2 linked regions of the Arabidopsis thaliana genome follow. The protein of the gene in region 1 interacts with the protein of each later gene in a pairwise test. Each region holds a gene or a part of one and is shown in the gene's direction. Other genes may lie near its edges.

Evidence for each region.
Region 2: the proteins of AT5G50090 (region 1) and SWEET1 interact in a protein complementation assay, tested with the Arabidopsis thaliana proteins (one large-scale study listed by BioGRID).

The regions. Positions count from the first base shown.
Region 1 is NC_003076.8:20,367,807-20,371,948, forward strand, and holds AT5G50090 (D-ribose-binding periplasmic protein), read left to right. Parts: upstream 1-1,850; 5' UTR 1,851-2,154; coding exon 2,155-2,419; intron 2,420-2,780; coding exon 2,781-2,902; coding exon of another isoform or gene 2,903-2,935; exon of another isoform or gene 2,936-2,979; coding exon 2,980-3,072; 3' UTR 3,073-3,585; downstream 3,586-4,142. Other genes in the region: AT5G50100 (Putative thiol-disulfide oxidoreductase DCC), read left to right, coding at 4,110-4,142.
Region 2 is NC_003070.9:7,511,101-7,515,382, reverse strand, and holds SWEET1 (Nodulin MtN3 family protein), read left to right. Parts: upstream 1-1,901; 5' UTR 1,902-2,101; coding exon 2,102-2,135; intron 2,136-2,252; coding exon 2,253-2,289; intron 2,290-2,404; coding exon 2,405-2,500; intron 2,501-2,596; coding exon 2,597-2,876; intron 2,877-2,969; coding exon 2,970-3,089; coding exon of another isoform or gene 3,090-3,131; exon of another isoform or gene 3,132-3,173; intron 3,174-3,176; coding exon 3,177-3,353; 3' UTR 3,354-3,633; downstream 3,634-4,282. Other genes in the region: SCL1 (SCARECROW-like 1), read right to left, coding at 3,881-4,282. UniProt on the Arabidopsis thaliana protein: Mediates both low-affinity uptake and efflux of sugar across the plasma membrane. Can transport glucose, and, to a lower extent, mannose, fructose and galactose.

The DNA.
Region 1 (4,142 bases):
GACAGTCATGGAGATTGTTTGAGTCTGTAAATTGTCTTCTTTTTAACCGAACAAGATTAGTAAGATCTTTGCCATTTTGATGTAATCTATGAGCACATGACCATGAGCTTTTTGTATATGCAAACCTTTGTATCAAGTTCCCCATGAAAAATGCATCCTTCAAATCAGTTTAGTTGAGTGGCCACTTCTTGTTCATCGTAACTTAGAAGAATTTATTCATTATGATTGTAATATCTTTCCCATGTACTATAACCACCGATTGATCGTATGGATCACTCTTTGATTTCATGAGAGAGGTTGGGTGTTCAGTGGTGATATATATGCTTCGAGAAGGATAATAACGTTGGGCTAATTAATGTTTAGATTTTAAGATTAAAGGTTTATGAATCTCAACGAGTCTTAATACGATAATAAGGGTTTAGGATGTTGGCAGGACCGGCTCAATGAATTCAGAACAAATCTTAAAAATTGGGGTTTTTATACTAAAAACAAAAAATTTAGACTCTCTTTTATGTTAAGAAAATCTTTAAAATTAGTCCTTTCATACTAAAAAAAATTTGGACCCTTTTTATATTGAAAAAATCTTTGAAATTGTTTTTTTCTTTACACTAAAAAGGTAAATTTGGTCCCTTAAATTTATCCCAAAAAATTTAGATCCTGCACATTGTTCCACTTGCACATGTCAAGAGCCGCCCCTAGATGTTGGGGTTGGAGCTTAGATTTCACGACACAGAGGTTAGATTGTTTGATATGAAAAGATAAGTCTTCATGTGAAGAAGAAGAACAGTATAAGGTAAACACAAAAGTTTTTGAAGAATGTTAAAGTTTTCAAAAGCTTACTAATGTAAAAATTAGCTTGAAAAAAGAAGTTTGTTTTTATTTTGGGTTAAAGTAACATAGCTAGTAACGTGATACAATATGTTGTGGCTGACACATATCAACATTGACTGACTTAACTTAGACTAAAGACGTACATTTTTGTAACTTAAACTTGTAAGTTTTTATGTTACTATATCGTGTACGTACAACGGGAAGAGACGTACATTTTTGTAATCTTGCAAGGAGTTTGATTCATATAGCAAAACACGTGAAGGAAAAGAAGAGTGATAAACGAAGCCATCTTGAAACACTTTCCCTTTCGGGGGAAAAGATCAAAAACGAAAAGAAAGTAGAACAACACACTCGTTCATAGAAAATGGAAAAGTAAGGTACATAAGACAAAGCATCGAGCATGTGTCGCGGACTGTGGAGAACGGTTGGGTCCCATATTCTGCTTGACGTGCCGTTATTCTCTTTTCTTTGTTAGCATAACAATGATCAAACTTATAAGATGACATTGCATATAAAGTTGTAAAAATACGCAAAAAATTGTTTGAATATATATTGTTTGAGAATGAACGATATATATATGTGATGAATACGTTATAAAATATGAATGAAAATCTTTAGTAAAAGTACGAGTATAATATTTGCTTATATCCCGTAAATCTGACATTTTTTAGTAATGTTTCTTTATTATCGAAACTATATGTTTCACTAACATAAATGTTTCAGTAATATTTGTTGTCAAGAAAATAAAAATAAAAATAATCGAGTTACATCAGACCCAATTTCATGATTTCCTCGCATTAGTTATCTAAAATATATAAAACGTAAGTTTCCTTTTTCTTTTTGAGAATACAGGATAAAAAAACTATAAATCAAATAATGAACATACTGCACTTTTATTTTTGCAATTTCGTTAGCACCTAGTAATTAACTAACTAATATATAGACACTTTGTTTTGGTTATAATTAACAACATTACGAGTACAATCAATTTGATTGCTACAGAAAAAGAGATATATAGGGGGTCATACACGTAAATTTGCATAAATCATTGAAAAGAATATTGGGAGTGATTGTCGTAAACCGGAATACTCATTTGGCCTGCGGTGACAGTAATTATTTTGACTCCACCGTCAAAGACAAAGACCGCACTCATTCTCTCTCGTTGGTCGAGTCAAACACATTTAAAACTGTTCCTTCGTTTCACGCTCTTCTCGTGTTCTGCTTCGGTTACAACTTCTCTTCTATCCAATACTTCCAAATCTCCACTTCACAATAAGAACCCATTATTGATTTCTCTACAAGTTATACATTACAAGAAAAAAGATGGGAAACTGTCAAGCAGTGGATACAGCGAGAGTGGTGATACAACACCCAAATGGGAAAGAAGAAAAGTTAAGTTGTCCAGTTTCTGCAAGTTATGTGATGAAGATGAATCCTGGCCACTGTGTTTCTCTCCTCATCTCTACCACCGCTCTCTCGTCAGCATCTTCCGGTCATGGAGGGCCTCTTAGGCTCACGAGGATCAAGCTCCTTCGTCCCACGGATACGCTTGTTCTCGGCCACGTCTATAGACTCATTACCACCAAAGGTATATATATTAGAGTAACATGCCTAAATCTACTCCAACATTTCAACTAACAATAATTCTACTCCAACTCTATATTCTTGCATCTCGATTACATATCTCGTAATTGAATTTGAACTATATATTTATTAGTCCGTTTGATAAATATGTTACATATATCTCGTAAGTTGCAACCCTAGGAAATGAATGAGCTATTTCCGCATAGTTAGCATTTGATTTTCTCAAACTATTTGTAGGCGCTTTAGAAAACTTACTTAACCGTACTTATACTTATGTTAAAATAAACACTCTCTTAAAAGTTATATTTATATACGTTTTTGGGGTCTAATCTACAAATTTTGATACTATTTGGGGTGAAATTCAGAGGTTATGAAGGGTTTAATGGCCAAAAAATGTTCGAAGTTGAAGAAAGAAAGTAAAGGCTCGGATGATAAGCTAGAGATGGTGAAAGCAATAAACTCTACTAAGCTTGACAATGAAGATCAGGTAATATGTGATTACAAAGATTACCATGTTTAATTATAGTGATAATTGGTTTTAACTTGGATGAAAAACGTCTATAGCTGCAAATGAAGAAACAGGAGAAAGAAAGGTCAAGAATCTCAAGATCATGGCAGCCATCATTACAAAGCATATCGGAAGGAGGATCAAGCTGAGCAAATTCTAAAACTTTGGGGAATATTAAAGAGAAGCTTCAGAATTTAAGGATATAGTTTGGAAAATATGAAGGCATGTGAGTGGCTAATGACAAAAGCTGGTCCTTTGGAGTATGTGATATTAAAGTGAAAAAATTCGAAAGCAATCATTCAGTTTTTTTTGACTGAAGAAGACTCATTACTTCTTCTAGTAGAATAATACAAAAATTATCAAAAGTTAGCGTTACAAACGTAACCGAAAGCATCGAGCGTGCTTGAAGCTGATCATGTATTAGATAATTGATCCAATGTACTCCAAAGGAGTATTATTAAAACATCTAAAAATTAAAAGAGAAACGAAAAAAGTATGTACAATTAACGAGGATTTGAACGGCGGAAAATTTTTGTCGCTAATCCCTCGCTTATATACAACAGATTTTGAAGATAGACATATCATATCATTGCAGTCTTATGTCCGTTGCAAAATTGTGATGACTAAAAATTGGTAACCAATGTTATAGTCTCTTTTATTTCTTACTGACTCCATCAAAATCTTGCTTGTAAACTTTGGACACTATTTCGAAAAGCAAAAACGTATTAATTTTGGAATTATTAAAACATTAATAGAATATTTAATATGTATAAATCAATAGAATACATTAAACTAATAAATAAATAATACAAAATATGAATTTTAACCATACAAAAAATCTCAACTATAATTTTAAAACCCCTCTAATAGCTAAAACTGTAAAACATATACTGAGTTGGTCTCTGATATTGCTCATAACCGACCGACCTAACCTAACCACACACGGGATACGCTCGATGTTCCCATTCTCCACGGTACTCCAACACTGGCATACAATACAAAACATTGAAGGAGACAGTAATGCCACGTGCACGGCTCTGCACCATAAAATTTAACGCCTCTGATTTAAAACACCACACATTGACAAATTGACATAACCAAAGCTACATAGAGAAAAAACACCAAAAATCAAAATTCCATCAAAGGGGCTTTTAAAATTTTGGACAAGAACAAAAAAAAAAGAAAAATGGCAACGAGAGGAGCTGTTGCTGCTGCTGCA
Region 2 (4,282 bases), on another chromosome or scaffold:
TGTATATATGTATTAGGCAAACTCTTATTTAAATATTGATGTGTGATCACCTACAAAATAAAATCGAAAATGAATGAATACACTAAAATTTAATAAAACGAGAAAATGTTAATTATTTATTCCGCTTGTTCCATTCATTCTGATTTTTTCGATATTAACGATCCTTCTAACCAAAAAGTACACAATAGTGGTCCAATTTCTTATTAAAAAAACAAATTTGAAAGAGAGGACAACTTGGACAAGGAAGGTCGAATATGTCTGGAAAAGGAAAGAGCTACGTGACTCGTGTGAAGAGTTGTGCCATGCCATGTGGTGCTTGCTGATACCAACGTCATCATCATTTCACTCTTCTGATAGTCTTTTCCTTTTCTCTCTAGTTCAGTACTCTTTTGCTTTCAATCATTGACGTCGGACTCAAACCAAACCTCAATCCTCGATTTTCTTTGTTTTTGGTGATAATTTATTACAATTATCAGATAATTTGTGCCTACCTAGTGAAAGCTTAATATATAATGGCATTTGTTCGTCCACATCCAAAGATTTTCAAGCTTCTGCATTTTAGATTCGGATTTAAAAGTAAGACTATTGTGGATAACAAGTTAAAAGGTGTTTTCAACTCACAAAAGATGAGAGAGCATAAAAGTATGCAGACTGAATCATCTAGCAGTCTAGTAATCATGTTACTGTGCTAAATTTTGGTTTTGCCTTCATATAGTAATTAGATCACATTGTTCTAGGTAAATATCAAAATCTCAACAAATATTGATGTAGCCAACGACAAAAAAGAAAAAATGGGTTGATAAAAATCTGCCATTTGATGAAATACGGTATCATAAACTAAATTAGATTTGCAGTGGACTTATGATAGGTTCTTGAATTTTAGCTAAATACTGCGTACATAGCTAAATTGTTTTCTTGAACTAGACGTATTAAAAATATATAATGAACACGTACGCGAGAACAGCCAATTTCATGATTTTTTCCTACAAAAAAAAAAAATTCAACAAATTTGGTCATCTTCAATAATCAACTCATCTACCGACGTTGATCCATTAACCTTAGCCTCACAATCATAACCTAATGTTCTTTTTGTTGGTTTTACTCCGGTTAAAATGATCATGAATGAACCGATATGGTTTGGGTAAAGCTGAATAAGCTAACTCGTGGTGACTAGAAAACATTCCAAAAAGATCACTCACTATACTAAAAAGTATATCCTGCGGCTGTGGTTCAACGGTATAGAATAACTGAAATTTAGTGAAACTTATTGGTGCCCTTAAATAAACTTGACAGTTTGTTAGGTTTGGTTTCGCTTATGTAACCAGAAACTTCCTAAACTGTCAAATTTTATCTAGAATCTCTATTAAAGAGGGCAACGAAAAAAAAAAAGTAACACATCATGGAGAAGATGAACCACTAGCCACTGCCCCGCAGAAAATACAGGCTCGGGCCTCGAGTCACATATCAACGTCAAGCCCAGAACACTCTGGCTTGTTCAGAGCTACTTTTAGTATCAAACAAAAAACAAAAGAAGAAAAGACATTGCTCTTTTTAGGTGTTTATTTCATTTTTAAGTATTTAACCATATCTCTATAACTATCTACAAAAGAAACGTCGATCCAAAGAGTCAGGTTCACCTCTCGAGGACGTAAAAACAAGTAACAGATAAAAAACCTCGTTCCAAAAATTAATTTGGTATCAAGAAAAAATCTGTATATATACACTAGAATTCAAAATCATGGGAACTTTTTTTTTTTTATATAAGAAATAACTCAATTAACTCAAATTTAAAACTTAGGTTTTCTCAAAACATTAGTTCTTAACCATAACTTTTTTTTCAAATTTTATTCATACTACAAAAATTAATAACAGAACCATGTATTTTTAAAATTTAATATTTAATACCATTATTTCATAATTTATTATACTTTTATTAATTTTGTAATTATTGGTGTTCCACAGTGAAGCGGTTAACACACGCTGAATCTCGATATATATACGCTTGCCGATAGAAAACACTTAGCTCATATTCTCTCACTTTCTCTCTCAGCTTACGAACAAGAAAAAAAGAAGAATCTTTAGCCACCTTTGAGATCAAAAGATGAACATCGCTCACACTATCTTCGGCGTTTTCGGTAGCAACTCATTTCCTCAACCTCTCTCTCTGTCTTTCTATCTTCTTCGTCTTTCTTCCATGAGAAATCACTGAGAGTACTACTAATCCGTTTTTGTCGTTTTTCTACTTTTTACAGGAAATGCAACTGCTCTGTTTCTTTTCTTGGCTCCTTCGTACGTATCACTTCTCTCTTCTATAGTGAACCGATTTATGATTCTTTCGATTTCTTGTTGTTCTGTTCTGGAAAAAAAAAACTCAAGATTCTTTTTTGTTCGTGAATGAAATTAGGATAACATTCAAGAGAATCATCAAGAACAAATCCACTGAACAATTCTCTGGTATCCCTTATCCAATGACTCTCCTCAACTGTCTCCTCTCTGCTTGGTAAAAAAAATTCCCTCTTTTACGTTTTTAATCTTCCATTAGAGTATAGCTCTGTTTCTTACTTCCTCTGTTTCTGCGTTTCTCTGTTTTTTTCAGGTATGGACTTCCCTTTGTGTCAAAAGACAACACACTTGTGAGCACAATCAATGGCACAGGAGCAGTGATCGAAACAGTCTACGTGTTAATCTTTCTTTTCTACGCACCAAAGAAGGAGAAAATTAAGATCTTTGGTATCTTCTCTTGCGTTTTGGCTGTATTCGCAACAGTAGCTCTCGTCTCTCTCTTTGCTCTTCAAGGAAACGGTAGAAAACTCTTTTGTGGTCTCGCAGCTACTGTTTTCTCCATCATCATGTACGCTTCTCCACTCTCCATCATGGTAAGCAAACTCAGGATTGGATCTTTTTAAAGTTCTACTCTTTACTTTTGGATTCATTTTGTTAAATTTTGTGTTTGGTTCATTGATTTACAGAGATTGGTGGTAAAGACGAAGAGTGTAGAGTTTATGCCATTCTTTTTGTCACTCTTTGTCTTCCTCTGTGGTACTTCGTGGTTCGTCTATGGTCTAATCGGTCGTGACCCTTTTGTTGCAGTAAGTTACAATTTCTCCTTCTTGTGTTGTTTTCTTTGGTAAATATCAAAACTTTGTTTCTAACTTTGGGTTTTTGTTGTTGCGAAGATCCCAAATGGGTTTGGATGTGCATTAGGGACACTGCAATTGATACTATACTTCATCTACTGTGGAAACAAAGGAGAGAAATCTGCAGATGCTCAGAAAGATGAGAAGTCAGTGGAGATGAAAGATGATGAGAAGAAGCAGAATGTGGTTAATGGAAAGCAAGACCTTCAAGTTTAAAAGAGCTTTTGAGGATGATTTGGTTATGTGATTTCGTATTAACTCTGCTTAACTAGAGTTTTCCTTTTCGTTTCGTTGGAATGTAAAAAAAATGATGCTGAAAAATGTAACGTTTCCTAGTTTCGTACTGATACACTAGTGATTGATGAAGAATGACGATGCCTTTTGTGAGTTTTATGGATCTAATGAGCTTTTGAGTTTAAGAGTTAAAACTGATAAGCCTAATAGTAAGTGAGAACCTTAACAAATTTAACCATTTGAACTGAAATATGAACATGTAAAGACTCATTCACACTTAGCAAATAGGTTTAGAACCAAAACTCTAATTATTTTTATATAATAGGGAAAAAAAAGAAAGAAAAATTCTTCCATAAGTGTTAGATTAGCTTTTAGTACCTGTGATCACCCCTAACCTCTGGTAATAATACATGGAGATGATTTAACCAGTTACACAATAACCCAAGATTACAGTAAAAACATAATTATGTTTTATGAAACATAAAGACTATATGCTCTTGTCACTTATCTTACCTCCAAGCTGAAGCAACGATTAAGCTTTTCTCCTCCCAGCAAAAATGGAGCTCACCCATTTCTTCTTTAAGCTTGTACTTATTGCAATATTGTTGCTTTATCAGGTTTTGTATATTGTTGGTTACTTTAGCACTCATTGGTTTTGGATTGAATCCAGCCATCATCATCCTTGCTCTCCATTTTCCCGCAGCCTCGTATCTCTCTATCCGTTCTTCTCCTTCGCAAGCAACAATGTTGACTATGTCTCTAGCGAGACACTGTCTTTCTACATTCATCCTCTCTTGGCTTTCTCTTGGAAGTGTCATGTCTAGAGACTCGAAAACTGCTGAGTAGTATTCGTAAGCCTCTATGAATCTGGGAAAGAACGGTGAAGTGTTTGTGTTCACGTCTTGTTCAAC